Danio rerio: one gene and its partner. The protein of the gene in region 1 purifies or fractionates together with the protein of each later gene. This does not show direct contact. Links are inferred from orthologs where the notes say so. Each region holds a gene or a part of one and is shown in the gene's direction. Other genes may lie near its edges. The genes, in order: tada2a and zzz3.

The links.
Region 2: the proteins of tada2a (region 1) and zzz3 purify together in Homo sapiens (affinity purification with mass spectrometry; 4 studies listed by BioGRID and IntAct, with this or other methods). This does not show direct contact. The link is inferred for Danio rerio from reciprocal best matches to the Homo sapiens genes TADA2A and ZZZ3.

Annotation. Positions count from the first base shown.
Region 1 is NC_133190.1:18,214,165-18,230,171, forward strand, and holds the start of tada2a (transcriptional adapter 2-alpha), read left to right. Parts: upstream 1-2,536; 5' UTR 2,537-2,775; coding exon 2,776-2,800; intron 2,801-5,151; coding exon 5,152-5,258; intron 5,259-5,350; coding exon 5,351-5,410; intron 5,411-6,000; coding exon 6,001-6,092; intron 6,093-7,232; coding exon 7,233-7,396; intron 7,397-12,464; coding exon 12,465-12,553; intron 12,554-15,089; coding exon 15,090-15,162; intron 15,163-15,826; coding exon 15,827-15,890; intron 15,891-16,007. UniProt on the Homo sapiens protein: Component of the ATAC complex, a complex with histone acetyltransferase activity on histones H3 and H4. Required for the function of some acidic activation domains, which activate transcription from a distant site. Binds double-stranded DNA.
Region 2 is NC_133177.1:9,142,177-9,158,983, forward strand, and holds the start of zzz3 (ZZ-type zinc finger-containing protein 3), read left to right. Parts: upstream 1-7,162; coding exon 7,163-8,562; intron 8,563-15,218; coding exon 15,219-15,357; intron 15,358-15,452; coding exon 15,453-15,600; intron 15,601-16,807.

The DNA of each region.
Region 1 (16,007 bases):
GTATGGGAAGAAATACTAGCTCTGCATATACCCTATTTAGTGCTTCTTGTTTGGTCTAAGGCCCACTTTATATCGTATCTCAATTAGGCAGTAAAGAAGATCATAGATTATTTTTAAGAAATCAAATCTTAAACGTGACTATTTTGTAATGCCATGGCAGTTCACCGGAAGCTCTTAAGTTGACTTACTGAAAATTAAAAGTCCCTGTGCATTAAAAGTCCCATTGGCTCTTTTATTTTGAAGACAATGAAGACTATTCCATCATATTGCATGTGTTTTACTTTAAATACTGTGTGTTTTACTTTAAATACTGTATATGTGTGCCCAGAGTTTGTATGTCCTAAGACTCTGATGTCAATATGTCTATCATCTTGAAGTGTTAAATATTTAAACTAACCACTAAAACATGAAATCACTAAAAATAAATTTGAAATTAGTTTTTCAAGATGCCACAACATTGTGCAGCAAACCATTCATGGACCATCATTGACTGCTCCAATATGGGAGAAGTCTTTCTAAATAAAATTTGCATACTCATTGTAAACTAGCAGTTTCACATTTGTGCTTTTAAATTTACAATCGAGCAATTCCATTCAAATGTCAACTTTGCTATGAAAAAAAAAATAGTTTTCACCAAAATAGCAACCATTTCTAAATTTATTTGTGGAAGCAAGTATTTTACAGTACTTTAGAAACACTCAAAAATATCTCGTTAATGTTTTACATTTGATTTACCAAAGTCATACAAGTGGATATTACAAATCTTTCACATCCATAACCATTTTTTTTCTCATTGCAATTAATAAAATCAGTATTTTTTATTTCCTATAGTAAGCCAACTCTTATCCTTACGATTAGCATTGTTTATTTTGGGGTGTGCAGTTTAATTCACAGAATTTCTACAAAGTATGTCGAATGCTGTAAACTCACTAACTTTTTTCATCATCCATAACGCATGTTTATTTCCCTCATTTAAGATCTAAAAAATGTTTACAGATCGATGTTTTTCTGATCCCATTACTCTGTGGTTAGTTGTTTTGGAAAATATAAACACGTTAACAGTTTCTCTGTGAATTTATGTTTTGCAAAAGTCACATCCATAACGCTGGAATAGCTCAATCATGAATTTAAAACGGTTGGATGATTTTTTCACAATTTATAATAACAACAAGAATAAATGGACTTAAATACAGTGTTTTTTTTTTCAGAGGTTAAGAGACAGAGTAAATGTTATCTTTTCCTAAATTCAATTAATTTAAAAAGCTAAATGGACAATACATAAAAGTGTGCATAACTAAAAATATCAGGGTGATACTTCAAAATAATGGTCTGTTAGTTAATGTTTGTTAATGCATTTACTAACATGAACTAAGCATTATCAAATCTGTATGGCATTTTTTGAGTTCAACATTATTCATTCATTCATTTTCTTGTCGGCTTAGTCCCTTTATTAATCCGGGGTCGCCACAGCGGAATGAACTGCCAACTTATCCAGCAAGTTTTTACGCAGCGGATGCCCTTCCATCTGCAACCCATTTCTGGGAAACATCCACACACACATTCACACACACACACTCATACACTACGGACAATTTAGCTTACCCAATTCATCTGTACCGCATGTCTTTGGACTGTGGGGGAATCCGGAGCACCCGAAGGAAACCCACGCTAAGACATGGAGAACATGCAAACTCCACACAGAAACGCCAACTGTTCGACCCAGCGACCTTCTTGCTGTGAGGCGACAGCACTACCTACTGCGTCACTGCCTCGACCGAGTTCAACATTATTAAAATCTAAAGTTGTGCTTGTTAATATTAGTCAGTGCACTGTGAGTTACGTTGACTAACAATGAACAACTTTATTGTCATTAACAAACGTTAAAAAAGAGGAACAAGTACTGTAATAAATCTGTTGTTCATTAGCATTTCCTCATTTGCTCATGTTAGTAAATACAATAACCAACATTAACAAAAGGAAAAATGAAATTTCATAAAATTAAGATATTGACGGTTCATTTCGCTGTGGTAACCACGCTAAAGCAAGGAAAAGGCCAAAGGAAAGTAAAAGTAAAAATTATAATTATGTAATTTATATATCAATGTAATAACCTAATAATAATAATAATCATAATAATAATTCTAACTTTCATAGTAATCTATTAATACTAAATAATGTATAAAAACAGGATCATCCTGAAGCTGAACCATCGACATTATATAATAGATATCAATTATAAATATCTATGAGTTGAACGCCTCTTATAAAACTATGAGAAATGAATCCGTAAAAAAATACTTACGATGATTTACAGGTGGGAAAGTGATGAAAACGAAATATCTGGTCTGATATTCCTCAAGTGTCCAGTGTAAAGTAGGCTATCAGTTATACTGTAGATGATTATTAAAAGTCACTTGAGAGATCTTGACCTCACTGTAGAAAGGCTGAGCTCGCGAGTCTGTCACATATTCATGTATGTATGTATCGCGCAGGTGCCGCTGAGGGGCGCTGTGGAAGAACGTCACTTCCCCTCCTAATGTTGTTCACTGAGCTGCACAGATCGAGCAGAAGCACTGTGTTTACATTCTCAATAATGTGTTAAACAGAGCATAAGATTATGTTTTTATTCTTTGCTTTTTAACGACGAGGCATAATCGGTACAACCGCCCAGTTTAATTCAGCACAAATCACAGAAAGATCTCAATTTTTTTCCAAACGAGTGGAAGAGGAGGAGGAAGGTTTTACATTTTCCAGATCCCATCATTCATTTACAACATGGATAGACTGGCGTCATTTGGAAGTAAGTTTCTTGTTTAGTAAATCTAGTACTCTTGGGGAAACAGCCTAAATATGAAAACTAAATAGCTCTGGTATTTGATACAGAAATGTACCATAGTAAACGGATGTCAGCTAAAATGACTCTGTAAGAGCCATTTACGACGTACGTTGTATTTTGTGCCATGACAATATTTGAATTTCTCTGGAGTACATCATGTTATGATAATACACTTATTAATAACGCTTAACATAATGCATATTGCAGTACGGCATCTTAAACTGTACCATGCTGCCCCCGATTTGTAATACATATAACTTATATAAAACAAATCAGTGCATTAAAGTATAAAGTCATGATTTCTTTAAAAAAATGTGTATATATATTTTTTTATATAAATAAATAACAATAATTTAAAGTATATATATGAAATAAAATGTAGCATATGAGTTTTTTAATGTTTATTTTTTATACAAATATTTAATTTGTAAATTTATTTATTGTATTTAAAACATTTTATAACTATTTATATTGTGAGTTTAATGAATGTAGTAAATAATTCACAATGCTTTTAAGTGGAATATATGATGCTGTACCATGGTGTTGTAATTCATAAATGGTAAAACAAATTATATTAATGGTAGAAACTATAAAGTAAAATGCAGTAGCTGCAGTGCATTAACTGTAATCATACCTCAGGTGAATGTTGTATTAACCAGAAATAGTTTTAAGACCCCCTTACTGTATACTTTATGCTTCACAAATAGGCATAGGTCGGTATAAGATTCTGACGGTATGAGAACTTTGGATAAAATTATCACAGTTTCACAGTATTATTAGTGCTCTAAAATAAGTTTTTAAATGTCTGGGTGAACAACTAAAACTTTTCCACCTAGTTTGAACACAATATAGTTTATTTTGAGAAACATTTAAAATATTTTGGAAAAGTAAACGTGTCCTAAATTATTGAAATGAATCATTGACTTCTGCTGTTTTCATTAGTTTCAAAACACTGATTTCTTTACAACTTGAAAAGACATCTTCGCAAATGTTTTTCTTCTGGAGATACTGTTGTCCTAAAAAAAACAAACAAAAAAAAAACACGTAAATAAAAACCGTACAAACACCGTAGGAACGGTATAACAGAAAACTTTGGCGGTTTTAAATCATTGACTTTTCCAAACTGCGTTGTACTTTGAAACCTGTTATTGTCCCATGGCTATTCACAAATTAATGTTTTTCTTAAATATACTCTTATTTCCTTATAAACTATATATATATATATATATATATATATATATATATATATATATATATATATATATATATATATATATATATATATTCATTAAAAACTAATTATCTAATAACGTAATAATAACAGATATTTGTAATAAAATACTACATTTGATTTTGGTGGGTTATATTTTTCACTTTTCGTTATAATTCATAGTTTTTTTAATAAGTATCAGCTTTATAACATAGTAATATGTTTTGACATACATTCAAGATTAGCTAAATAAAATAAATGCTTTAAAAATAAAATAATGGTTTTCTTTCACATTTGTAGAATATTTTATAAACACAAGAAATATTAAACATTTATTCTAAGCAACAAACAATAAATCAAGTGTCATATTTGAAAATATATTGTACACTTTTGTAAAAACTGGACTTCTTGAACGTTCTGGTTTGATTAGGTACTGTTTGTGTCTTTTAATGTTATTATTTGTTTCATTTATTCATAAAGAATATTAAATTATTATTTTGTAATTTTGTGACTAGATACAGTAGCTCTAAATCACACTATTTTTTGTGATGTATAGAACAGAATTTCTTTATTTCACAGAAATTATTATTTTTACTTAAACACATACTGTACATGTGTTGTACAGTATGTATTGTATTGTGTTACAATAAAATTTATTTTTAGACATGCTTATATTTTCTCTTTTTCTGACAGCACAATACCATTTGAATTTTTGAATTCAGAAGAATTTTTTAAAAAAAAGTATTATTTGGTGTCATATCCCAGATTTTTTTTAATCACAACAAATTAAAATATTTGGATATTTTATACTAAACTTTATTACTTTGAAAATATTGGATTTGTTTAGGTAAAATTTTAAGTAAAATAAATGTTAATATTTATTTTATTTATAAAATAAATGTTAATATTTATTTTATTGGAATTGTTTTTTTTTTTTTTTCAGAAAACATCCAAAAAGGCTCTAAATGACTAAATTTTTGTTCATGAACTAAACATTATTACTCAAACCCATAGCTAAAATATCCAGTAAATCCAGAGAAACGGAATTTCTTGAGGGTTGATTTGCTGATACCTTCATTCTGTTTCTAAATTTTTTGGTCTTCAGATGATCCTTTCGATAAGCCTCCCTGTCGTGGATGTTCGTCATATCTGGTGGAGCCATACATCAAGTGTGCTGAATGTGGACCGTCCCCATTTCTCCTGTGTCTGCAGGTGCTTTCCTTCCACTGCTGTCTGAATGCATCAATCATACACTGTCACTGATCATGAAATACTCACTTTATGTTTTCATCTTTCTGTTGCAGTGTTTCACTAGAGGATATGAGTATAAAAAGCACCAGAGTGACCACAAATATGAAATCATGGTAAAGTATAGATTACAACACTTAATACATAAGATATTGGAATAAAAGGTATTTCAATGGCAACTGTTTTTTGTTGGTTTGTTTTTTGTTGTAGTTAATTTTATAGTTATAGTTTTATATTTATATAAGTATATATATATATATATATATATATATATATATATATATATATATATATATATATATATATAAGTGGTATTATATGGTAGTAATTGGGTTTACCGTAGTTATTGGGTAGGATTAGGGATGTAAAATAAGATAATAGTATTATAAGTGCTAATAAACAGGTAATAACCCAGTAGTAAATGTTGTTTCTCTTTTGTTACTGGTGTAATTGATAATTAAACTAAAATGTTAACAAATACTGTATGTGGGTGTTTGTTTTGTTTTCACTAGTTATATGTTCCTAAAAATCATTAAAGTATTTAGATATATAAGATGTTTTTAAATGTTGTTTATTCCATAAATGTTCAAAACAGATTCTTTTGTTTGTTTGTTCTTTAAAAATTCTTGATTGTAAAAATTTGCTCTATAAATGTATTTGCTCTATAAATAACATGTTTTTTTTTTTTAATATGTATTTTTTCTAGACCTCAGATTTTCCGGTGTTAGAGAGTGGCTGGACTGCACAGGAGGAAATGGCTCTTTTAGAGGCCGTCATGGACTGTGGGTTTGGGAATTGGTCAGTATAGTTCCTTTCCATACCTTTTATTCTTTCTTCTAATAAGGCTTAATTGTACTAGAGCTCAGTGTTTCCTCAGATCTAAATAATGTAATGTCCTCTTCCACTATTTAAGTTTAAAATCAGAACAAAAAGTGATACATTTGTGAAGTAGTAATGGCATGAAATGTTTCAGGAATTGCCAAAAAAGAGTGTCTTCCTCAGTGTTTTGTCTTGTTATGCAATGCAATTATTAAATCATCCATAAATCAAGATATATTTAGTTAAATGCAAAACCAATCAATTATATAGTAATGCAATGTATACATTAATATAATAATATCTTTAATATACAGTCAAGCCCGGAATTATTCATACCCCTGGCAAATTCTGACTTAAAGTTACTAAAATGACACCGGCTCATGAATAAAGGTATGAATAATTTCAGGCTTGATTCTAAATATTTTAGTTTACTTTTTGAGAAATTGACAAAATTAAGTGATTAAAAGAAGAACAAATGTGTGTCATTACAGCATGAAAACTTGTTTAATATGGAATAAATCAATTTTTTGTTTGTTTGTTTGTTTGTTTGTTTGTTTATAGGCAGACCTTTGTTCATGTCATGCATACAAACACATTTATATCAGTTTCTTATAAAACAGGACTTCTTGTCTTATGCCATTTTGCTTCTTGTAGTAAATGTATATTGAATTGCAAATAGATGTTTGCAGCAGAAAGCAAGACAAAAATACTCTGAAAGAATATCAGTTTTCTACTGTGTGATCAGAAAGTACATTAAAAATAATTTCTGTTTTTTAGCTTTTGGGAACAGTTTTTAAACATCAACACTTTAGTTTAAATGTATGGCCAGTGTTAAAATTCTTATACACTGTTTTTGATAATTGAAATAAACTTAAATTAAAAATATTACAAAAAAAAACTAAAAAAAAATATGATTGCATTATCAGAAACAAATCTAAAATAAAATCACTCAAACCAAAATAAAAATAAATTAACTCTTAATAAAATAATAATACCAAAAATTGCATGAGCACATTAAGTAATTACAGATAACTTAAATTTGAAATAAGACTAAATGCTTTAAAAGTATTAATATGTCATTAATGTAACACTGCTGCTGTTGTATCTGGGTTTCTTCAGGCAGGACGTGGCTTACCAGATGCGCTCTAAAACCAAAGAAGAATGTGAAGGTCACTACATGAAGAACTATATCAACAATCCTCTGTTCTCCTCCACTCTGCTCAGTCTCAGACATATGGATGATCATCTGTCCCGGACAGCAGACACAGCCATTCCCTTCAAGCGTAAGTGAGCAGCAAAAACAACAGAAGCAACTGTTGTGTGATTCACCTCTTGATATACATAAGGTTTCAACAAATTACAAGTCTAATCAATCCCAAACAAGTTAAAATGAAAGTTCACGCAAAAGAAAATTAGATTTTGCTTGAAATTGACTTAATCTGACTTTTTTTCTTTAGTAAATCATTAAAATCAGACTTTTCCATCACTATTAGAGTAGAAAAAGCATGTCAGGTAATGCTAAATTAATAGCTAGTGTATGTGCAGGAAACTGAAATTGTTTGTAATCTCCCAGCCACAGTCTGATTGTTTTCTGTAAACTCGGTGATCTGTTTTTTTTTTTAGTCAAATAGCGTCTGAGGCCTTCTGTTAAGAATTTTTTTGTTGATTTGATTACAACAATTGGACAAAGTACCAGACAAGAGCCAGATAAATTAAACAAGCTATATGAAAAAGCCACTTTATGCATTAATTGGGATTGACCCTTCTAATTAACACTTGATCCCCCCTGAATGACGTCAAAACAAGCTGTGTGAGTTGTCAGCACTTTAAAGGGCACCTATGGTGAAAAATCTACTTTTCAAGCTGTTTGGATATACATGTGTGTAAGTATAGTGTATAGACTGTCATATTGGGTTGAAATAAACACACCCGGCCCTTTTTTTTTTTTTTTTTTTTTTAATTTAACAACATAAAAACGGTGGACCAATTTGAATCGGTTTTCAGATAGACCGCAACTTTACGTAGGAGTGCGGTCCCCCCGCCCACCAATATTGATTGACAGCTGCGCGCATTAACATGTCTCCGTAGTAATGCATAAAATTATATCGACAAGACAGGACGAGCGCAAAGCAACCGGGAATAAAAGGTCTGTTCAGTTTGCTAGGATCATCAATCATCATCAGACGTGATCAAGAGTGAGTTTTACAAGTTTAACATGTTTTAAAACGTGTGCACGTGTGTAATGAAGTACAGCCAGTCACTTCAGATTCATTTCATCAGCACAGCCACGTGTCTCTCTCACTGTCTCTCTTTGTGTGTGCGTGTCTACGCTATGTATGTGTGTGTGTGCGTGTGTGTCTGCTCTACGTGTCTGTGCTATGTGTGTGTGTGTGTGTGTCTGTGTGTCTACGCTATGTATGTGCATGTGTGTCTGCTCTACGTGTCTGCGCTGTGTGCCTGAACTCATTGTTGCAACTCCACAAAAAATGCATCAAATACTGATTGGTAAAGTTCTTACTGTAGTATTTCTCACAAACGTTACGTGAGATCTGCTTCCTGAGGCTGCCAAGGGCGGCGATTGAGGCATGTTGCTGACAGGCACGTGGGAACGGTGGGCGGGGATGACTCGCCTTAAAGGCCCAGTGCTAAAAAACAGCAACAACCTTTTCCCAGCTATAGTACAGACACTTCAAACAGCTATAATAAATACTCTGATGGGTGTTTTGAGCTGAAACTTTACAGACACATTCTGGGGACACAAAAGATTTATAATAAATATGAAAAAAGGGGTATCCTATGTGCCCTTTAATAGATTTCTCTGATTTGTATCTTAAAAGTGCTGTGTGTACATTTTTGACTCTTCTGAAGCATAAAATACTATAATATGTTTGCAGATATTTAAAAGACATGCCAAATGAACATTTATGTTTATCTGAAAAACAATGCAGAAGTCAGATATTCTGCTTTGAAAATTGGTTTTCTATGCCAAAATGCTTTCTTTCTTTGTTCTTTTAACCTGCACAATGCCAGTTTAGCCAGTTATATTTCAGTACCTCAGGTTGCCTTGGTGGAAAACCTCTTATTTCATTTATTTAGAAAGGCTCTCAAAGCATGTGTTCGTGACCGAAATGTGTCCTCCAGTGGACAGTAGTAGATTCCGAAATGAGACGCAGATTCAGAGTTCCACGTGAGGTTATTAATAAGCAACATTAGGTAAGCAGGACCATCGTAAGCCCTGTGTCCTAACAACACACTACGCGACGGTATTTGCAGTGATAAGCAATCTGCCTATTTGCACCAGACGAAACACAACAGAAATTTAAATACAACCATTTAGAAGCAAAGAATATGCACCACTCATAAAATGGTGAGGTTTATAATCTAATTAGGGGTTATAATTAGGGATGCATCGATATGGATTTTTTGGCCGATACCGATAACCGATATTTCTTCAGACTTGGAGGCCGATAGCCGATATGTATAGGCCGATAATTATGAATATTTTAAATTGTTATATTTTTATACAGCAAACTTAATAAAAGATTGAACTGTTCTTATGAACTGAATAGCCTATACACAATGCAAAAAAGCTATAATTTCAAAATTGCAAGGTGATTATAGACCTATATTCATGATTTCACATAAATCTGCATGCAAAAAAATATTTCCTTTTCTTCATAGCAAATTAACATGCAAGTTGATTGTTGCATAAAAATAATAGTTTAAATAACAAAATGGTATTTAATTAACAAGCAAGTTAAACATATTTAAATAAGATGAAAATGAAAAGAGCTAAGGACTAAAACCAGCTCAAATGGTCATGAAGAAAACATGTTACAGTGATGTACACATGTACAAATATGTGTGTTCAATTTCAAACTGTTTATTTTATTTTTAAGATCTGAGGTGAAACTATCTGCTGCTGCTTTCAGTTTATGGCAATAAATGTCATGTGAAATAGCATTCAAACTCACATTATTAGTGTTTATCATTAATCATTAAAATAATAATGGTTCATTCCATTGTGAATGTATAATCAGGGCTTGAAATTAACTATTTCACTTGGTAGCACCGTTGCTCCCAACTTAACATATTTAGGAGTACCAGAAAAAATTTAGGAGCACCACCAAAAATAAATGAGCACCATTGCAAAATGTATTTAAAGGGATTTATTGTATTTGAAAACAACATAAATTAGGACTAACAAAAACCAGAAACAACTATCTTATTAATGCTGTAATGACTTATTGATATTTGTGTGCAATAGTTCCAAAATGCATGTCTAATAATTATTAAATATTAATGATGACAAAAATGACAATAATACTAACAATAAATTACATTTCTCAATATGATGCTGCCTTGAATGTGCTTGAATGCGAGTTATCTGCTAAAAAAAGTCTTTATGAAATAAATAAATATATATAAGTTTATTTATATATATAAATAAATATAAGTTACTTTATGAAAAATATGGTTTGCGTCAAACTAAAATAAAGCATTGCAGTAAAAAAAATGTTTATTTTGTACTATTGTTTTTATATGCATGTCAATCTAAAAAAGAATGTTTCTGTCACAAAACAAACGAAAGACTATAATAAATCATTAAATTCAAGATTGAAAGCTGCAAAACTGTTTTTTAGTTAGTAATTAAATAATAATATAAATCTCAAGGAATAATGGACAGAAGAACCTAATAAAAGTCTCATTTCTATCACTCTTTAAAAGTTTTGATTATCTTGTTATTGATAATCTTGTCTTGTTATGAGCTGATTTTCATTTTTCTTCGTTTGTGGAAAGCAGGCGAGTCAGCCGCACCAATTTATGAGCATGCAGAGCAGGATTCCCCCGATGACCACTGGCGCAATACCGCTCTTTGTTATGAGCTAATATGAACCAATACAGCAGCAAGGAAGACCGATTCAGCACATTTTTAAAAAAAATCTTAACAGGTCGCACTACAACCATTATATGCAGTCGCAGAAATGCTCCCAAATTTATTATGAGGTTGAATTGATGAAATTTCAGGGGCAAATGCGACCAAAACGGTTGCAATTTCGAGCCCTGATAATTACGCCAATCAGTCTATGCAAGAAAAAAATCATTCGACAGTCTGAAACCAGCAAATCTAGAAAACCAATAGACACTCTTAAGTGTTCGCAAAAGAATTTTCCCTGCAAAATAGGCATTTGTGTCTACATTTAGTCTAACAGTAAATTACAATTAGATGCACTGTTTGTATAATTTGACCCACAGTAACCACTGAAATAGCTAATCAGTAGTTAGCTAAATTTATACACAAAATTTCCCTCAAAACACTGAATATTTAAATAGGTTTTATTAGATGCAATTTACATGAATTTGATTCACTAAAGCATGTATTACACAAACTAACATTAGCGACAAAACTGACCCCACAAGAGTATTCTGGTCTAATGTGTTTTTCGACCACCTCTTGACAAGCTCAAAGCGTTTAACAGACTGTTCACACCTGTACTACCTGATGAAGTAGTTACAAAAATGCATCTTCTTAATATCAGGTGTGAACATTATAAGAGATTGCAATCATTGTACTCATCTGTTGTTGTCAGAGTAAATGTGTAGAGTGGCAAGAATGTCCACTACATGCACAAAGCCTCTCTAACCGGGTTTGCTCTAGCTCTGATCCGGGTTTTCCATCTTCTGCTACTCGCTCCTTGCTTGTTTGATTTTTTTTTTTACACTGACATTTTATGGAGGTTTTTAATGAAATATTTATTCTTCTGCCATCCTATTTTAAATCAGCATATATATATATATATATATATATATATATATATATATATATATATATATATATATATATATATATATATATATATAGTTTTTTTTTCATATTGTGATGTTAAAGGCTTTATTTCATTAGAATTGATGGAATAGTTATCATTCGCTATTAGTCAACTAAATCTAAGTCAAAATAAATTAATACATCATGAGAGAATAGAAATTATTTAGATAAAAAATTATGATGGCACATGAAGTACAAATAAGGTATATATGGATAAATGGCTTACAATAAACAGTGCTGTACTGAATAGCAGGACATCAGTCGTGTTCTAATCCATGCTTCTTTCATTGTGTTCATTTGTGTTTGCCATCCTGAGCTCCACATCCCTGCGGGCACTCATTCATCACACTCTCACCACACACAGACTAACAGATTGAATACGAGATGTGCTTGTCTGATTCATTTTGTTGTTAAGATGGCACATAAGCACACACAGACAAATCTGCAGTTTTCAAAATGTGGCAATGACTGAGTGATGCATCATTATAATAATAATGTCATGCTTTGTGTTGTATGTGTTTCAGCCACTGACGATCCTCCAAGGCCTTCCTTTGACTCACAACTGTCCAGAGATATGGCCGGATACATGCCAGCTCGAGCAGACTTCATGGAGGTAAGAGATCTGCAGCTACTAGACTTTAGTCAGGGTTACACCTTATTTCAATATTGACATGGATGAAAACAAATTTGTAGGGAATAGAAATGCATGCCTTCAGTGGAGTGTAAGTAAGATAAAGTACATCCAAGTGGTTCTTATCGCATCAGCGAAGCAAATCTGTGGAGTGTTGTTCTGTGGAGAAAAAAAAACAACCGACTGGATGTACTTTATGCCACTTATTACACAGGTACTTGTCACTAAACGTAAAAATGTGACTCAAAGCTTGTATGTTGTATTCAGCCGTAAAAGTTTATTAAGTGTTTAATTAAATGCAAAACAAGAAATGAAAATGGCTGAATGGAGCAAACAATAACCAGGGTGTCTGCAGGTTCTTAAGTCTTAAAATGTCTTGCATTTCAACAACTAAATTTTAGGCTTTAAAAATGATTAAATTTGCTAAAATGTTGTCTTGTAGGTCTTAAATAGTTTTTTTTTACAGGTCTTAATTTTCATATGTCCAAATCAGGGGTACGTTTTCGAAAGCCAACTAAGGTCGCAAGTTCCGTCGTTACAACCATAGTTCATTTATTTAGCATTTTTCAAATCCGTCTTTCCAAAGAACATTCACAAACTGCATCGCAAACTTCAATGTTTGCAACTACACCTTTGGAGCTGTAGTTAGAAACATAGTTCCTGGCTGTGTTCTATTCCCAGTTATTGTAGTTATATGCCCAGTTATATGCCCTATACATTCTAACATTTAAACTTGAAATGATTTTTAAAAAATTAAGTCATCACTCTTAAGTGTAATTTGCTGTCAAAGTATTTTTACAGATCAGTTTTAGCAGTCTTGCGTTGCCGCTTTAGTGCACTTTAAAAGCATTCATGTCATTTTGAACACAGCCGTGGCTCATGATGAAAGCTACAGGTGACCTATTATTTAAAAGCTAATGGTTTTAATATCTAGTATGTATTTATTAAGTATCTGTACTGTATATGACGTGGGCCTGTTAGTTAGAACATTTGTGCAGTGGTTTGCATGTGTCAAATTGTAAAAGTAGACTTTTCAAAAAAATAAATAAATAAACAATATTCTACTTAATAATAATAATCAGTGATATTATTGATATTATTATTAAAGTAAGATTTTTTTCATTTCCTAATAAATAATAAATATAACATTTTATTTCTTAATAAATAGACTGTCTATTTATTTAGTTGTATGATTAATATATGATACTAGAATACGTGGTTGCTTTTGTAAGTGATTTTATGTTTTAGAATAGAATATGTAATGTTCTCAATAATATTTGTAAAGAAAACAGGCCCTATATATGCCGTTTACATACAGTATATTACAATTAATCTGGAAAGCAATTGCATGTTTTTACTAAAACTAAAATTGGATTTTTTTTAAATGTGTGTCCCTGTGAAACAATATAATTTGCACAAAGAAATTATGGGGTTCCTCTCTAAATAAGCTGTTACCACCTGATTTAGAGTACCATTATAGGCGGTTTACATGATATCTAACATGGTTCAAATTATGGATCGACAGAGAAACTACGGTTTTGGGGAAACACTCATCACTACATCTTTCTTTTTTCCAAACGATGCATCGTACTATGATAGTTAATCCCGGAGTTACGTCGTTGTTTGAGAAAAGCACCACAGGCCGACACCGACACAGTCCATCTCAATAAAACTTTACTCTATTTATAACTCTGTTTACCAATATGGATTAGTTGTCTTCCCTACAATTACATTGGTTAAAAAGTTCTCTATGTATTTATAGACCATATATGTTGGGGACACTGACCTGGACCGACTGTTATACTTTTAGTTTTTTTTAAAGTTTATACAGCTTGTCAATCTTCTTTAACAACAACAACAACAAAATAAGTGTGTAAGTACACAACTAGGTTTTGCTTTGTTTTGACACATTTAAAATATGTGGCTAACATAACTTATTTGAATTTATTATATAAAACTCTTTTTGTGCTTGCCCAAATGGGCCATTGGAAATAGTCCTTAGCATTTAGCCTTGTTTTAGTCGAAAATTGTATCTATAGTGGTGTTAAAAAGTCTTAGGTACGTTCACACCGACACGGATGAATCGTCAAGTGCGAGTGATCTATGTGTTAAGTCAATGCAAAGATGACCCTGCAGATGCTATTTTAGCCTTGCTCCATACGATCAGCAAGCACATTCAGCACCCTGGTGCTTTGCCAGAATTTTATTGATTTTAGTTCAGCTTTTAATACTAATTAATCAGAATCTTGACTATTTAGAATAAAGTATTCCAGAGCCATGTGATATTGTTGTTTAACGGTTGTTTAAAATCAATACATGAAATGTCTTCTTTAAAAAAAAAGAAACAATAGCAAAAACACCCTTAAACCTTTGTATGAATGTTTTGATATTTATACAGCCTGATACAGGCTTGTTTCCATAAATTCAATATGCCGTCTAATGACTGTCTGTTTAGAACTTATGTAATTCATACATTTTTTAAAGCAACCTCTCTTTCTCTTTTTGTCTCTGAAATTAGGAGTTTGATAATTACGCTGAATGGGATTTAAAAGATATTGACTTTGTCGATGATGATTCTGATATCCTTCATGGTAAGTGCAACAGTAGAGAAAATGAGTACATTTGTTCTCTCATTTTACTGAAATCAAATGTTATTTTTACAATGTAGCATTATCATAACCTGTTTGCCATTGAAAAATCATAGTTGTTATTGCTGGCTTAATGAGATCAAACATCATTATGGTCTTTTTTTACTTTTATTTCTATTATAAAACATCCTGAATTTAGTTTTCTATATCCATTTTGATGCTATTATACAAATTTTTATTGTAATGTTTGATTTTAATTGAATTTTAGATTATTTTATTATTTTTTATTATGGTTTATTATTTTTAAGTTGAACCACTTAAGTTTAATTAAATTGTATTTCAGCTATAGTATTATTATAAGTTAAATTTTCATACTTTAGCTAGATACAAATACTTAGCAAATCATCATATTTAATTTAATTTAAAATTAACATTTTATTATTTATAATGTTTTTCATATATACTATTATACATTATTTTAAAATATATATATATATATATATATATATATATATATATATATATATATATATATATATATATATATATATATATATATATATATATATATATATATATATTAGATTATATTTGTGAAAACAAACTGAATGCTAAATTCTTGGTAACTACTTTTTACCATGTTTGTGGTATTATTGTGTTATTGCAGCACTGAAGGTTGCTGTAGTGGATATTTATCACTCCAGACTAAAGGAAAGACAGAGGAGAAAAAAGTAAGTAGAAAAAAATACTTGTACTGCATAACATCAACCTCTAGAGGGCCACCCTTCCCTATTAAATTAGATTTCAAATTAGAGCGTTATTTCTAAGGGCCCCTTTCTCAATTAACA
Region 2 (16,807 bases), on another chromosome or scaffold:
CTGTTGATCATCAGTTGCAGTGCAAAAAGCTTAGTTTTTGCCTTCTATATGGATTATAGTGTGTGTGTCTGAGAGAGAGAGAAAGACCTTTGCGCACTTATCTTGATTTGTCTAAGAAAATGAAAAAAAGTCGCTCAGATCTCAGTACAATAATCAACATAGTACGTGTATTTCTTCACTTTTTTGCACGGCCTTATCTAAAGGGTTAATGGTGCCAACTGATAATCGACAGTGACAATTACACATTTGACCTGTTCCCAACAAGGAAAACCTCCAACAGTCAGGAATGCCTAATTATATGGTGTCATGGCTTTGCAATCAAAAAATGTCATTATAATGGAGGTCAATGGGGCAAAAACAGCCACGACCATACACAAAGGCTAAATAATATCATGAATCCCAGTAAATGAACTAATAAAAAAACTGTAATAATAATTTTAAAATATGAAAAATAATATCAGTAAGAAAAATCATAGTTTTAATCACACCTTTTTATTATAAATGTTTGACTGAATGCTTTTAGCTAATTAAGACGGTTTGTAATGCCAATGAAAGATTGGCAGTTTGGCACTGGCTTAATCTGTGTCGTGTGTAATGCAGATTTGGAAATATGGATATTATTAAAAAATTATGGGAAGATCGGCAAAATCTGTGATAAATGTAAAGGTTGCCAGTCCCTGCTGAAATATTTGGGAAATACATTAACATTGTCAGTTTAAAAAAGAAACATAAGGTTGTCCCAAATCACATACTTGTGCACTATTCTACGCCATTTTGTAGTATAAATAGTGTAAGTAGTGCGTTCACACTGAAATTCTAAAGGCTGATTTATACTTCTGCGTCAAACACCGGCGTATGCTACGGCGCTGACGCATAGCCCTTCGCCGTGGCCATCGCCGTCACTGACGTGCACCTCTCAAAAAGTTTAACTACACGTCGCAACGACGCGTAGCGTAAGCTCTGTGATTGGTCGGCTTGGTAGCGCTGACGAGTCTGGGCGGGACCGAGAGCCGCGCGAGCGATTGTTTACAAGTGTGGAGTCCCGTGAAGGAGGTCCGGATGGAAAGTTTTGTTTTGTGTTTACCTCATAGTTAAAGTTGTTGCACGTCCGCCGGTTCCTGCCTCAAAATGAGCGAGTTTGAGCCACTTGTACATCCCGGAAGTGTTCAGGAAATGCAAAAAAGTAGCGAAGAAACTCGACACAGAGGAACATTTACACCTCACTGCCAACTAGTGTTTCGGAAGTGTTAATGCAGACCAACAGAGACAGCGTGCAGAAGTATGAATGCACAGCCACGCGCGTTGCCTGCGCCGTGGGTTACGCCGGTCACCTGGCGCAGAAGTATAAATCAGGCCTAAAAAGAATAAGTGCACTTTAATTACCTGGATGATGCACTTATTCAGCTGTTAAAATGGAGTGTGGAACGTTTGACACTTCACGCACTCAACGGCCGCTGCTTTGCATAAGTAGTGGAAGGGGCGGTGCTTTCAGGCACTGATGTTGGATAAGTTTATTTATTTTAGATTGTGAAAGCAAAATTCTCCTATGAGAGTGATTTATAGCACCACCCGATGGTGAATGAGGTTATACTCGTGGCAAGTATTATTTGGTCATTTATTTGGCTAATTTAGCAACGTCATTGGTGAAACGGTTTGAATTTCCGCTTAGAAAAAAAATGTTAAAGTTCCATTTGCGACAACACTACATTCATATACTATGCTGTTGAGTGTGTAGGTGCATAAGTAATACATAGTGCACAGTGTATAGTGTGCCATTTGGGACACAGCTATAGAGTTAACAAAAATACTTTTTGATTCATTTGACAGTATTTTATTAGGGTTTGTATTTACAGATTTCCTTTTTCTAAATAATTTACAACTACAGTATAAAATTTGTTTAGTATCCTAATGAGGATCTGAATGAAAATTCTCTTGGAGCGAAATCTCAAACCCAACAGGAAGTCTATTCTCTGTCATCCTTAGGCCACCGGGAGGTGGTGAGCCCTGCGGGTCCCTTTCATCGTTGCTTGGAGGTTTAATTTTAGTGTTGCTTACATTTATTTGTTGGTTGGTTGAAATGCAATTTTCCTCTTGTGCAAAAAAAATTATAAGTGCATCTGGAAAGTGTTTATAGCGCTTCACTTTATCCACATTTTTTTAGGTTATAACTTTATTCCAAAATGAATTAAATTCATTTATGTCCTCAAAATTCTACACACAAGACCCCATAATGAAAATTTTAAAACGATTATCAGAAATTGTTGCAAATTAATTAATAATAAAAAACCTGAAAAATCTCATGTACATAAGTATTCACTGCCTTTGCTCAATACTTTGTTGATGCACCTTTGGCAGCAATTACAGCCTCAGGTCTTTTTGAATATGATGCCACAGGCTTGGCATATCTGTCTTTAGGAATGTTTGCCCATTCCTCTTTGCACTACCTCTCAAGCTCTATCAGGTTGGATGGGAAGTGACGGTGTACAGCCATTTTCAGATCTCTCCAGAGATGTACAATAGGATTTTGGTCTGGGCTCTTGCTGGGCCACTCAAGGACATTCGCAGAGTTGTTGTGAATCCACTCCATTGATATTTTGGAGGTGTGCTTTGGGTCATTGTCCTGCTGGAAGATGAACCGTCATCCCTGCCTGAGGTCAAGAGCACTCTGAAGCATCTTTCCCTCTCTCCTGAATAGTCTTCCAGTTCCTGCTACTGAAACACATCCTTACAGCATGATGCTGCCACCACCATGCTTCACTGTAGGGGTGGTATTAGCCTGGTGAAAAGCGGTGCCTGGTTTTCTACAAACATAACACCTGGCATTCACTCCAAAGAGTTTAATTGTAGTCTCATCAGACCAGAGAATTTTGTTTCGTATGGTCTAAGAGTCCTTCAGATGCCTTTTGGCAGGGAGTGGCTTCCATCTGGCCACATTACTATACAGGCCTAAATGGTGGATTGCTGCACAGATGGTTGTCCTTCTGTAAGGTTCTCCTCTCTCCACAGAAGAACGCTGGAGCTCAGACCATCGGGTCATTGATCATCTCTCTGACTAAGGCCCTTATCCCCCGATCACTCAGCTTAGGCCAGGTCTAGGAAGAGTCTTTCACTTATGGGTGATGGAGGCCGCTTTGCTCATTGGAACTTTTAGAGCAGCAGAAATTTTTCTGTAAGCTTCCCCAGCCTTGTGCCTCGAGACAATCCTGTCAGAGGTCTACAGACAATTCCTTTGTCTTCATGCTTGGTTTGTGCTTTGTTATGCACTGTCAACCCTGGGTCCTTATATAGACAGGTGTATGCCTTTTCAAATCATGTCCAATCAACTGAATTTACCGCAGGTGAACTCCAATTAAGCTGCTGAAACATCTCAAGAATGATCAGTGGAAACAGAATGTACCTGAGCTCAATTTAGAGCTTCACGGCAAAGGTTGTGAATATTTCTATACATGTGATTCTTCAGGTTTTTTATTTTTAATCAATTTGCAACAATTATTTTTTTATATTGTCATTATGGGGTATTGTGTGTAGATTTTTGAGGAAATAAATGAATTTAATCCATTTTGGAATAATGCTGTAACAGAAAAAGTGTGGAAAAAGTGAAGCGCTATGAATACTTTCTGGATGCACTGTACTTAGGCATACTTCGGTCTTATGTGAGCATCAGATTAGTATACTTTACATGGCCAAGTTACATGTGGAGCTTAATTATTATTGTTTGGACTTTAGGCTTTCTTTGAGCGCTTTTCCACTAGGTGCTACAACTCTGTGGTTCAGTATGTCTTAACTCAGTCTGCTTTTACACAAATTAGTACTGCTTCAAAGTGGGTGTGGGTTTATTATAGTGTGCCACCTCTACTGATGCTATATTCTGCATCACTTTTTCCAGCTCTCATTGGATCTGCCCCTCCTCACCTATTTATGGTTATATTACTTTAATATGTTTTTAAAGTTTTTTTTGTCATTTTTGTGCAAACATTAACTTTGAAAATGCAATTTAATTTTATTTGTAACATTTATAAAAGTGTTTGTTTTCTTTTGTACCTTGGGTTTCACATGCATATGTATTTTTAGGCTTGTACAACTCCCTATAAAGATGTGTGAGACTGTTAAAAGCCTCAAGTCTTTTCTTCACCTCTCACTTGATCTCACCTGAGCCGGTTATAAATACTCCGAGTGACGTTTCACAATGAGAGGAACGTCTACACACCATATACTACCACGATACAGCCTTGTGTGCAACATTTGTTTAAACAAATCCTACACTGGTTGTTGTGGACTGTTTATTTCAATCTAGTGGGATTTAGGCATGGGCCGGTATTCTAATAGCTAGGATGTAACGATTTACCTGACTGACGATTCGATACGATTAAGTCACGATTTTTTTTACAAAATTATGAAGAGCCCTTTCATTTTTTTCTTAAATTCTACAAATCTTTTGCAAAATAATATATTTTCTGCCATAACTAATTTTCTATTTTAAAAACAAACTCCCCAGCAAAAAAATAAAGACTCAGTTATATAAACAAACTAAAGCTGTGACTGTGCTTTGACTTTTTTTTTTAAATAAATATCAGCATTTAATATGTTTATGTATGAGATCTTTGCACATTTATAATGTCCCCTGCTGAAAAAAACTCTTTCACTGGGGACTGAGATGGCTGGTGTGGAGAGGAAAGCCTTTCCTAAATCAGAGAGCAGTGTGTACAGAGGTGGTCAATAAGTCCACTAATCCGGGGGACTGAACACTGGCTTAAAAAAAAAACTGATTATAAATTTACTAATAATATGGTAGGATAAAGACTGGACATGATTATAAAGGTGACTATTTAATGTTAAGTGTATAATTAATTAGTATAAGTACCAGTGCGATGTATTATCTTAACATTCTGTGCTAGTTTTTTAGCGTCAACTTGGTGTGTTCCAGTCCCTATACTGCAAAATAGCATTTTTTGTGTGTGTGTGTGTGTGTGTGTGTCTCTTTGTGTTGACTTCTTTAGACTGATTGTAATATTATTTATTATTTGTTTTATAATTATAGCTGTTATAAAGAAAGTTGGAATCAGCGAACATTGGTATCAGCAGGTCACACCAAAAAAAATCTGAAGTGATTACAATTGGTGCATCTCTAAGTAATAAGTAAAGGTTTTTTTTGGGGGGGGGGGGGATTCTTATTAGCGATGTTTGCTCATATATCATCACTTTTACTCTTGTTTATGTCTCAAAGTATAAAACTTGATATGTTTATGCTACAGTCCTCAATGGCTTTTCTAAATTCTGCAGTTTTTTGAGGGCTGTGCTATTAGTTTTTATACTAAAAAATTCTCATAGGCTTTAACTAGAGGGTAATTATGGACATAGTTGAGCTCGTTTCGACTTGAACCAGTAATCACATAGCAGCACCTTGGCATTGTGGTGACTTTTGCACAGGTAACCATCACTCAGATGCTCTTCAGAAATCTAGCTGAATTTTTTTTCAGTCGATTAAAAAGCTAAAAATAAATACGCCCACCTCCTTTTCTTGTGGAACTCATGCTTGTGGAAACATTCCAAATATTCCACCAGTGTACTGTTATTCAGAGTTGAGCTTTCAGTTATGCTTTCATGTGCTCACATTTATTAATACATTGTTGAAAACCATCACTTTAGATCATATTTTTAAACTTTAAAAATATTAAATATTCACATTTACATTTTGGGGTCACTTTAATTTCTTTGGTCCGAATGTGTTTTTGAGTGGTATATTTTAATTTTCTTGGACACCAGGTTTTCAATAATTTTTCTTTTTGGCTAGCAAACAGAAGCCTTAACAGAAGGGAGAATGATCATTGATTTGGGACTGCAACTAACAATTACTTGAATCAGATAAAAAAAAAGAATTAATTTCAAAGTTCCAACCCTTTATTAAAATCAGAACTACAATCTTTAGAAAGTGCTCAAACATGTTGCTCCTTAACGTGATGCGCACACCATGTGTACGTCACTCCCATGTGCACCTCCTTTGGAAATGACAAACTGACTCTAAGCTTATTGGCATTGCTTCCAAGGTGCGCGCTCGGCAGACACATTTTAATAAAACTATAGCGCTTCATACCGAAACTACATACCAAACTTTTTTTGTTACTGATATCGACAATGGTGTTCAGTTAATAAATACAGTTAAATCTTTCTCCTAACCATCTCAGGTCACGTATTTTTTATTTATATTTTTTTCATACAAGTTAAAGAAATCATAACTACTGCGCTTCTACCACCTCAGTTTCCCAGAACTTCTGGAGCTTGTTTAGTCATAAAAGCCTGTGATCTCGATTTTTATCGCCCAGCCCTATGCTTCACCCCTGAGCCTGACATCATTATTAGACAATTCAACACCCAAGTAGACCCATATTCCTATGCTTTGCTCAGTCCAGGGTGCAGAGCCCTTGAATGGGGACTTAAATGTTACCATGACAAAGCAAAGCAGCAACCACAGAAATGTTTTATTGTTTATTTTCCGAGCGATTAAATTGAAGTTTTATAATTATGTTTTCAAAATATGCTGTCAATTTCAATCTCTTCCAGTACTAAACACAATTCTTACCTATGAAGTACTAAGAGAAAGTGTTGGTGGTATTTCACAAATGTAATTGAGTATTTAAGGAATTTAATTGAGTGTACTAGAGGTTATAGGAGGAATGTGTTTTCTGCAGTCTGTTTATATATCAATAATAATACAATTGGTTACAGTGAAGTAAGCATTAGTCTTTAATCAAGAACATGATCTTTCAACTGTTAGTTCTGCAGCTTTATCGTACGTTTTTGTTTTTTAATTTTTAAAAGTTAAAACTTTTCTGTGTGTAAATGTAACTTCTTATGAACTTGTTTTACATGAATCCACTACATTTCAGAATATACTAACCTCTGTTTAAACTTGTGAACATTTCAGTGCTGTGCAGCAACTTTGATTTAACCTGAGCACATTTGCATGCATTCTCAAATATGTATGTTCTTCAGGAACAGCAACCGATTACATCTTTTCTGTCTATTTTTTGTTATACACTTAAACCTGTGTAATTTAGAATCTGAACGGTCTGTAATTAGTCTCTCATTGTGTCACTCAGGTGCCCACATACTGCTGCTGAGGAGAGAGCACCACGATGAGGAGACAGTAGGCACCCACCATAGTATGGCCGCGTCCCGCTCTTCGCGCGTCACAAGATCATCAGTGGGGATAAATGGATTGGATGAGAACTTTTGTGGCCGAACCCTCAGGAACCGCAGCATCGCCCAGCCGGAAGAGAGCTCTCCGCCTCCCGTGCCCAGAGCTCGCTCACCCAAAAAGAAGCAGGACTGTCAGCAGCACCAGCAGACCGGAGCACAGGTTGGAAAGGTAACTGAGAGCAAAGCGGAGGGCGAACCCGTGCCTGCATGTGGAAAACGTGGCTTGCCGAGCTCCGAGAAGGAAGATTCGGACAAATTTGATAACTGTGAGCGTCAAAGGTCTGGGTGTGGGCCTGAAGCCTCACCTGCCCTGAAGAGGGCCAAACGCTGTCCTCGCTCAGGTGAATCACAGGGGGCAGAGGAAGAGCCTTCTCTCAAACCCGAGAGCCCCGATCCTGCTGTATTGAAGGAAAATGACGATGGCGCCAAATCAAATAATACTTCAGCCTCAGACAAAGAGGCTGATCAGAAAAAGGATGGCCCAACAGAAGAGATCGCCCCTCAACCAGAGGTCAGCGAGAACGTCAAAGCAACCAATGGCCTCGCTGAACTCTATAGAGAGGACTCAGAAGTTGCGGCCTTACCTGTGGAGCCCTGTGCCTCCCCTGCCACACTCAACAGCAGTCCCTCACTGTTAAATGGCAGCCAGGCTGCGCCCTCATCCCCCGACCCTATTGTGCCTTGTAGATCCCCTCATCCCAAGCAAACCAATGAGCCCGACAGCCCTAAAATTGACTGTGAGAGGAACTGCACACCTGAGGAAGCCGCTGAGGCTGTGCTGTCTCAGGAACCCGAGATGGAGGTAGAGGTCGATGTTGTGGGAGAGGCTGGCCAGGCTCAGGATGAATTCGTGAGAGAGGAGAGCACCAATGGTGACTTTCAGGCTGAACCACAGGACCCTTCTGACAACTGCTCGAATATCTCAGGAGAAACGCTGTTGGCTGCTTCTCAGCTGCCCGCCGAGCCCCCCTCCTTCACAGAGCCTCAAGAACACCGCTACACCCTGAGGACTTCACCGCGCCGCGCTGCCTTTGGTAGCGGGCTCAAAGCCAGCTCCCCCAAACCCACTTCCCCACACATAGACAATGGTTCACTGAAGGAAGAGACCACAATGGTTCCTTTTTTCTCAGAGGACACCAGCCATAAAGACCCTTCCCATGATGCACTGGGACTTTCTTGCGAGGCAGACAGTGAACTTTTCGAGGAAGAGGTTGTCAGCGGAGAGGTCGGAGTGTCTGATAGTAGAGAGTCAAGATCCACCAAAGAGCTGCTGGCTGCTCAGGCTGAGGAAGATGAGGAGGAGGAAGAGGACCCAGATGTCTACTATTTTGAGTCGGATCACTTGGCTCTCAAACACAACAAAGAGTATGTTTAGGTTTACGTTCTTTCATTTGAATCTTTTTCATAATTGCGGTGATTCAAGATTATTGATTAGAAATTTGCTTTTGGCTACCCCAAACCCAGCATTTAAACCCAACAACCCAACTTTGAATACAACGGACATGAATCATGTAGCTTTATGAGAAGTCTTAAGTCGACTGTCAGCCAGAAATACTGTAGGTTAAGAAGTATGTTTTGGTTGACTTTTATGTCTGTCACCAGTTTGAACCTGTTAAAAAAAATCTACAAATTAAAAATCTTTGATCCATATTCAGATTTTCAGATCAGCTACATTTCTATTAAAATTATTGGACTTTGTTGGTGATCTGAAAATCTGACTGCAACTGTAGTTTGGACAGACCAGAGCAATGTTTAAAAACCTATAGTATCGTTCATCTGTTGCTTTAAGGAACCTCATAATGGCGCGTTTTCACTAAGCCGGACGGTACGGTACGGGTCTGTACGAGTCACCTTTATCAGGGTTGCGTTTCCATTGCCAAAAGGGTACCAATGGTACTCTTTTGGTGGGCATGGTATTCAACAGAAAGTTTCAGTCAACGTCCTTCTAGCTTGAGGAAATGTCAAAGTAAAGCTGTGCAATCAGTGCAAACCTCTCATCTGTATCTTTAATCTTCACCTGCGGTTAAAAAAGCTATTCATAAGTTTATAATAGTTCAAAAGGCGACAATAGTAGTTAAACATTGTCGTTTGTTCATGGTTTAGGTTGCTGAAAGAATCATTTGCTCATTTGTTTTTTTGTTTTTCTGGCTTCTTTTTTGTTTTTTCGCACTATACTCTCGCGTTGGTCTGTTTCTGAAAGGATTGGATGTCTGAAGCACTTTATTAATCATGCGCACGTTATTATAATCAGCTCAAAAAGTTTGTTATTTCAAATATAGAAGCATGACGAACGCACACAAGACAGCAAAACTGCTCGCCCTTTAAATAACTACTGGCCACAGGGTAGATTCTGCTCTTTTTGGCTTTGTGGCTGTTCATCAAGACAACGACAAGGTTGTTTGAGCTCAGGTCAACCATGGTTCGTTATTATATGTATATATTATTATGGTCTAGTGCAGGGGTCACCAATCTTTGTTCTGGAGGGCCAGTGTCCCTGCAGGGTTTAGCTCCAACTTGCCCTAATCCACCTGCCTGAGTGTTTTAAGTATACCTAGTATTGTACATATGTATTTGATTAGGGTTGGAGCTAAAATCTGCAGTACACAGACCCTTCAGGAACAAGTTTGGTGACCCCTGGTGTAATGTCTCAGCTGTGTATTTAAAAAAGGTGATTCCTTTGTTTTTATTCTCCTGCTTTTGCGTGTAACGTATCTCTGTAAACCAGTAGCGTTTAGTTGCACGTCTTGCTCCGCCCTTTGGTACCCTTTTGTTGTGCTAGGTACCCTTTGCAAAGGGTACCCAAAAGTGGTACGGTTTGCTTTTTAGGTACCTTTTGACAGTGGAAACGGCCTTAAAAGCGCACTGAACCGAACCGTACCACTAAGTAGAAACGGGCCATAAAACATCCTAGAAACTGCACAGCAAACCACCAAAGCCAATCAAAAAACTTATATAGAAATACTCTGCAATCCATTCAGATAGTTCTGTAGCTTTGAAATTTAAAATAGTTTAAGTTGTTTTTTTTTTTTGGAAGTAGAACCGAACTGCAATGCTTTAGCTTGTATGGTTGCCAAAACTGAGCTGTGCAAGTTTCGATTTGTCTGCCTTTGCTCTTTTTTTCTTCAGCATTTGAGATTTGTAATTTAAAAACATTGGTTATGCATACTGTTTTTTTTTTTGTAGCAAAAATGAGCAACAGCTGCTGTAATCTCCAGGACAGTGGTAGGTAATAAGCGAAGGGAAGCATGCTGCTGGTAGACAGGTTGTCCTGGGTCGTGCTCATTCAGCATGTGCCAGTCTCACAGTGGGAGTGCAGGGATCGGGAGCAGCCAGCTGGATTGGCTTGTCGGTCAGTAGAAATGAAAGGAGAGTGCAGCCACATCAGTTCATGGGACCAGTCTGAATTATTAATAGTTTGGTATTAAATCATTCTTAATCCTTAAATGGGACAGTTTTTCCATCGCAATTCATTTTGAAATTCAGTTTTAACTTGTAAAGCATTGCTGGTTGGTTATTAGGATGTTGATATAGTGTGTTGGATTGTTGATTGGTGTGAGTGAATGGCAGCTTTTATGTGACCCAGATCCACAAAACTAGTCATAAGTATCATTTTTTATAGAAACTGACATTTATACATTTTTAAAGCTCAATATGCTTTCCAGATAGGACAATATTTGGTTGGGAAATAACTATTTGAACATCTTTAAAGTATATATTTAGGCATATTAAAGATAAAAAATTACATTTTAATACATTTACTGTAGGAAATTAATGCAATGTGTTTAGGAAACATAATCTTTACCTAATAGTCAAATGATGTTTGGCATAAAAGACTAAATTGGTAATTTTGAACATCACATTGAGCATCTCTGAACACACAACACGTCCAACCTTGAGGCGGATGGGCTACAGCAGCAGAAGGCCACTCCTGTCAGCTAGAAACAGGAAATTGAGGCTACAACTCACACAGGCTTAGCAAAATTGGACAATAGAAGATTGGAAAAACGTTGCCTAGTATGATGAGTCTTGATTTAATTTGAATGGTAGGGTCAGAATTTGTTGCCAACAACATGAAAGCATGGATCCATCCTGCCTTGTATCAACAGTTCAGGCTGCTGGTGGTGGTGTAACGGTGTGGGAGATATTTTCTTGGCACACTTTTAGCCCATTTGTACTAATTGAGCATCGTGTCAACACCACAGCTTACATGAGTATTGTTGCTGATCATGTTCACTCTACTCAAATGGCCTCCACAGTCACCAGAACTCAATCCAATAGAGCACCTTTGGGATATGGTGGAACGGAAGATTCACATCATGGATCAATTCATCAATTCTACAGCAATTCTACAGCAACTGCGTGATGTTATCATGTTAATATAGAAGGATTATTTCCAATACTTTGTTGAATCTATGCTACAAAAGATTAAGGCAGTTCTTAAGGCAAAACAAAAGGGTTCGAACTGGTACTAGTAAGGTGTACCTAATAAAGTGGCTGATGAGTGTATTTTGGTGCATATTTCTTAAAATAAGAGTCTGGTCACCTAACATCATGATGAATACAAAGATATAGTTTGTTTACATTTAAATGAGTTATTACATAAGAAAAACAAAAGTTCAATTAGCTTTATTATTTTGATTGTTTTATTGATTTTTTTATTTTATTTAATTCAAATTATACTTTTTTTCCAATAAAAGATTAATTGGGGTGTACAGATTATTGCCTTGTGCTCTACGGGGTCCAAGCTTTAAGTTTTATTCTTAAGGCATATTTATACTTCTGCGTCAAGTGCACACGTATGGTTTGGCGCAGCCTGTGTGCGGTCGCAGACACTGATGTGCACCTTACATACAATTAAACTACAAGTCGCAACGATGCTTAGTGCAAGCTCTGTGATTGGTCGACCTGGTAGCTGTGCCAAGTGTGGGCAGTGCTAAGAGTCGCGAGCCAGATGGGAGTGAGTGTTTACAAGTGTGGAGTCCCGTGGAGTAGCCGTAAGTGTTTTGTGTTTACCTTATGATAAAAGTTGATGCACGTCCGAGTTTTAGCTATTTGTACATTATGGTAGCGTTCAGAAAAAACAAAAACCTGTGAAGAAACTCGATTCAGAGGAACATAACAAAACCTACTGCCAGCTAGCATTTCGAAAGTGTTGTTGCAGAGCAACACAAACAGCACGCAGACGTATAAATGCTCGGCTGTGCACAAGGCATGCGCTGTTGGTCACGTCGATCACTCAACACAGAAGGATAAACCACCCTTTATTTAGTCAAAATATAACAAAACATCTTATTTTGTTACATTACTTCCAGTTTTGGCTTTGCTACTAACTAATCGAATAAGTATATACTAGGGTTGGGCTGATAGACGATGCCATTATCCATCGCCGATGGCCAATAGACAACACAATGCACAGCCGGCATGACGATTCTTCGTCCTGCCGCCATCGCAAACTCCCTCGCATAAAATACACACTTAGGCCTCATTTACACCAAGACGTCTTAGTATTAAAATGGCATTTTAGAACGTAAATGATCCACATCCATGCTGTGTTTTACCTAGCATTTCTGAACAGCCCTCCGTCCGCTGAAAACACAAATCACGTGACAATACACACACACGCACACACATTGTCAAGCGCTCCAGAGAGAAGTGCACATCGGAGAGTTTATCAAGGATGTACCGCTGGATCGTGTCTTATTAGAGTTGTTTAAAGTGATATTTAATTAATCTTGTCTCTATTTAACAACTCTTCTGTCTTTTGAATCTATCAGGTAACGTGTCACAGCGTCAGTTCACGGCTTCAGTCTTTTACTTTCACACTTGTACTTTATTAATTTTAGGGAAAACCTCAGATACTGTTGGTTGGGCACCTTTTTTACCGACCACCCTCACTTGGAAAAAATGAGTGATAGGTGGTCATTTGTGTGTAACTTATCTTTATTTATTTGTGTATTTTTATGGGTAAAACAAAGAGCATGCGGGTCAGGTAGTTGAAACGGTAGGCTACAAATAATTAATTCGTTATGAATTAATTAATTAATTATAAATAATGACGTTGCCTATGACAACGATGCCATCGACCAAATCGCAATGTTTCACATTAGACATTGTATGGTGCCAAATTGGTCGACACCACCCAACTCTTGTAGATACACACAAATAATACCTTATGGTGTAGCATGCTTTTGAAAACGTACGTTTAAAAGAAAAATACTCATTTATTCCGTGCACTGTTTGTAAAAGTAGTATTTTACAACAAACTTTACCCGGAGTTGTGGGTTTTAGTGGTGTGTTGACATCTCTCAGTCTAAACCTAGGCATTGTAATGACTGACTATAAGGGAAAATCCGCCCAAAAAAACGAAAATGTACTCACTAATTACTCACCCTCGAGTGATTTTAAACCTTTATGAGTTTCTTTCTTCTGTTGAACACAAAGGAAGATACTTTGAAGACAACCCATAACCATTAACTTCCATAGTATTTGTTTAATCTTACTATGGAAGTCAATGATTACAGGTTTTCAGCAAAATATCTTGATTTATGTTCAACATGAAGAAAGAAACTCAATTTTGAACAAATGAAGTGTGAGTTCATGATGATGACAGAATTTACCTTATTTATTTATTTATTTATTTTAGGTGACCTATCACTTTAACATGCACACAATAAGCTCTAATGTGTCTGATTTGCCTACCTAGTTACAAAAATGTGTGAAGGTTTTAGGCCAGAATTCCTGTTTGTGTGGAATTCAGTGCAGGTTAATTGGCAAAGTACTGATTAATATGCCCATTTCACTATACTTCTATTTGTTCAGCTTTATTATTGGTCTAGGCTGCATTTCATGTGGTTGAACTATAGGCGGCAGTGCGTTATCAGCCATATGTCATGTTTGGGCTCTTTGCCATTGTTGGCTGCTTTCCCCATCCTGCAGTGCTACATGTCTATCTTCATTGTGCATCTGAATCGAGAGGCTGTGAACAGCTCCTCTGTGGTCGAAGTTATTAGGCGGCAAGGAAATTGAAGGAAAGCTAGCCAGTTGCCCTCAAGGATGGCAAATCAGATGAAACCAGTCCTCTAGATGAATTCTTGTTGAGAGCGAATGCTTGCTGTCATCAGTTGGTTTTCGTTCATGCCGTATTAGGCCTGATTGATTTATACAAGGTTTATTGAGCTGAATAAGATTACTTTTGAGCAGTAGGCTGAATCTCCTTCACTTAAAAACCCTGTTGTATTATTCATTCTCCCCCATCGTTCCCCTTTTTTTTTTTTCCATGTTCCTATTTGTGGATCCTATTTTCCTGAGGGTGCGCATGGAAAAGGTCAAAGCTCTGTAGTGCTCGGACGTCATATCTTCTTGACTAACAAGATAAATGTAGAGAAAACCCAGAAGAAACATTTTGTTTTATTTATAGCAGTGACTAAGGCAGCTTTGTTAGCCATCTTGTGAAATTGTAATTCTGTTTTAAATATTTCCTGAGTGATGTCTAATGCTTTTTTTCAGCACATCTTAAACAGAATTGTTTGTTTATTTATTTTCCTTCAGCTTAGTCCCTTATTTATTAGTGGTCGCCACAGCAGAATGAACCGCCAACTATTTCAGCATATGTTTTATGCAGCAGATGCCCTTCCAGCCAAAACACAGTACTGGGAAAGAACCATACACACCAATTTTCACACACACTACGGACAATTTAATTTATTCAATACACCTATACCACATGTTTTTGGACTGTTGAGGAAACCAGAGCAATTATCCGGAGGAAACCCATGCAAACAAGGGAGGAACATGCAAACTCCATGCAGAAATGTCAACTTACCCAGCCGGGACTTGAACCAGCAACCTTCTTGCTGTGGGGCAACAGTGCCAACTACTGCAGCCTCTATATTTTTTGTGAACCATTGAAAGGGATTTTATTTATGGATGTCTATGAAACAATGAATGGGTGATTTTGATGTCTAAAAGCATTAGCTCTTAATAATGTACAAATCATTTCTGCCCTTTATCCCACACATTAGTTATCAGAGGTTGCTCCAGACCATCAGCGTACTGGAGGCCCAGCGAACCCAAGCCATCCTGGACCTGGAGACACTGGCGCGGCATCAGAAGGAAGCCCTGTCAGATCCCATTGCCTTTGTGGACCAGCTACAGAAACAGGTACACAAGCTTCCACCAGACCTTCCATTCCTGTTGTCTTAAATGTCTGCTATTTAGACCCGTGTTGTGATTTGAGTGTTTTGTTGTTGTTATAGGTGGACATGGGTCTGCCTCGACCCCAGAGAGTGGTCCAGCTCCCGGAGATTGCATGGGACCAATACACCTCAGGCCGGGGCGACTTTGAAAGGGAGTTCTGTGACAAGAAGCGCAAAACACGACAGTTGCAGTTAATATTTGACAAAGGTGTGTATCAGTTTTGTTCGAATTTTTCTTTGTCCACGTTAGAGCTGTACGGTTCTGGCTAAAATGAGAATTGCATTTTTTTTTGCCTAAAATAACAATCACGATTTTCTCACGATTCTGTAGATGTAAAATAAAGGTTGATATGAGTGGGCTATTATTTTTGTTGTTCTCAAACATGTAAAACAGCAACAGGCTTTGTGTAGCTGTACTGTTGGTTAAAATGCTAAACTTGTATAGACTAGGAATGGTGGACTTGAACAGACTTTAGATTTGTCCTGGTCATTAATGCTGATGATTATTCTGATGTTGAATTATTGAGTTTGAGACATATGCTTACTAGAGATGTTACAATATTGTAAATACCGTCATACCACAATAGTAATTTTTTTCAATATTACCGTAGGCGAATGACTCAATAACACTATATTTCTGAGAAAAGTTTGCTTAGGCAAATGAATCGAACGGGAGGTAGTGGGAACTACAATTCCCATCAGCTTAAGCGTGGCCATCATCCTTTGCGATCTGTTGTCACTACAGATCCAGAAATGGAGTGTGTTGCTAGTAGCGGGGAAGAAAAAGAGCTGGAAATGATCAAACCTAAAGCGGGTTTTAAATCATCTGTGTGGAAGCATTTCGGTTTCTTTCTAAAAAGATACGAAAAAGGAGAAAAGGTGACAGACAAAGAATAAAACAGTATGCAGGCACTGCCAGACTGTGGTGAAATATAAGTCGGGAATACGACTAAAAACAGTCATGGGGACTGCAGAACACAGCACACTTGTTAGATTGATGCTGACATTGACTTGTACCGCAAAGAGACCTCTATCTCACTCATGGCTTGTCCTCTCAAGTGGTGGAAAGACAATGCACAACGTTACCCACTGCTGTCAACCTTGGCTAAATCATATCTCTCTGTCCCAGAAACCTCAGTCCCAAATGAGAGGGTTTTTTTCTGTTGCAGGGGACATGCCCAGAGATCCCAGCTTTTACCAGATTATAGTTGTATAATAATTTTCCTTAAAAAACCCATCTCTATCTAAGTGAGTGAGTGATTAAATGTTGAATGTGATGAGTTTTCAACAATACTAAATTGAAACTTTATTTTTTTATATGGTTTAATAGTTTTTTGTTATTAAAATTGAAAAATTGAAGTTCCTGTTTCGAAACTTACAGATAGGTGGCTAATTTGTATGTCATTGATATGTTC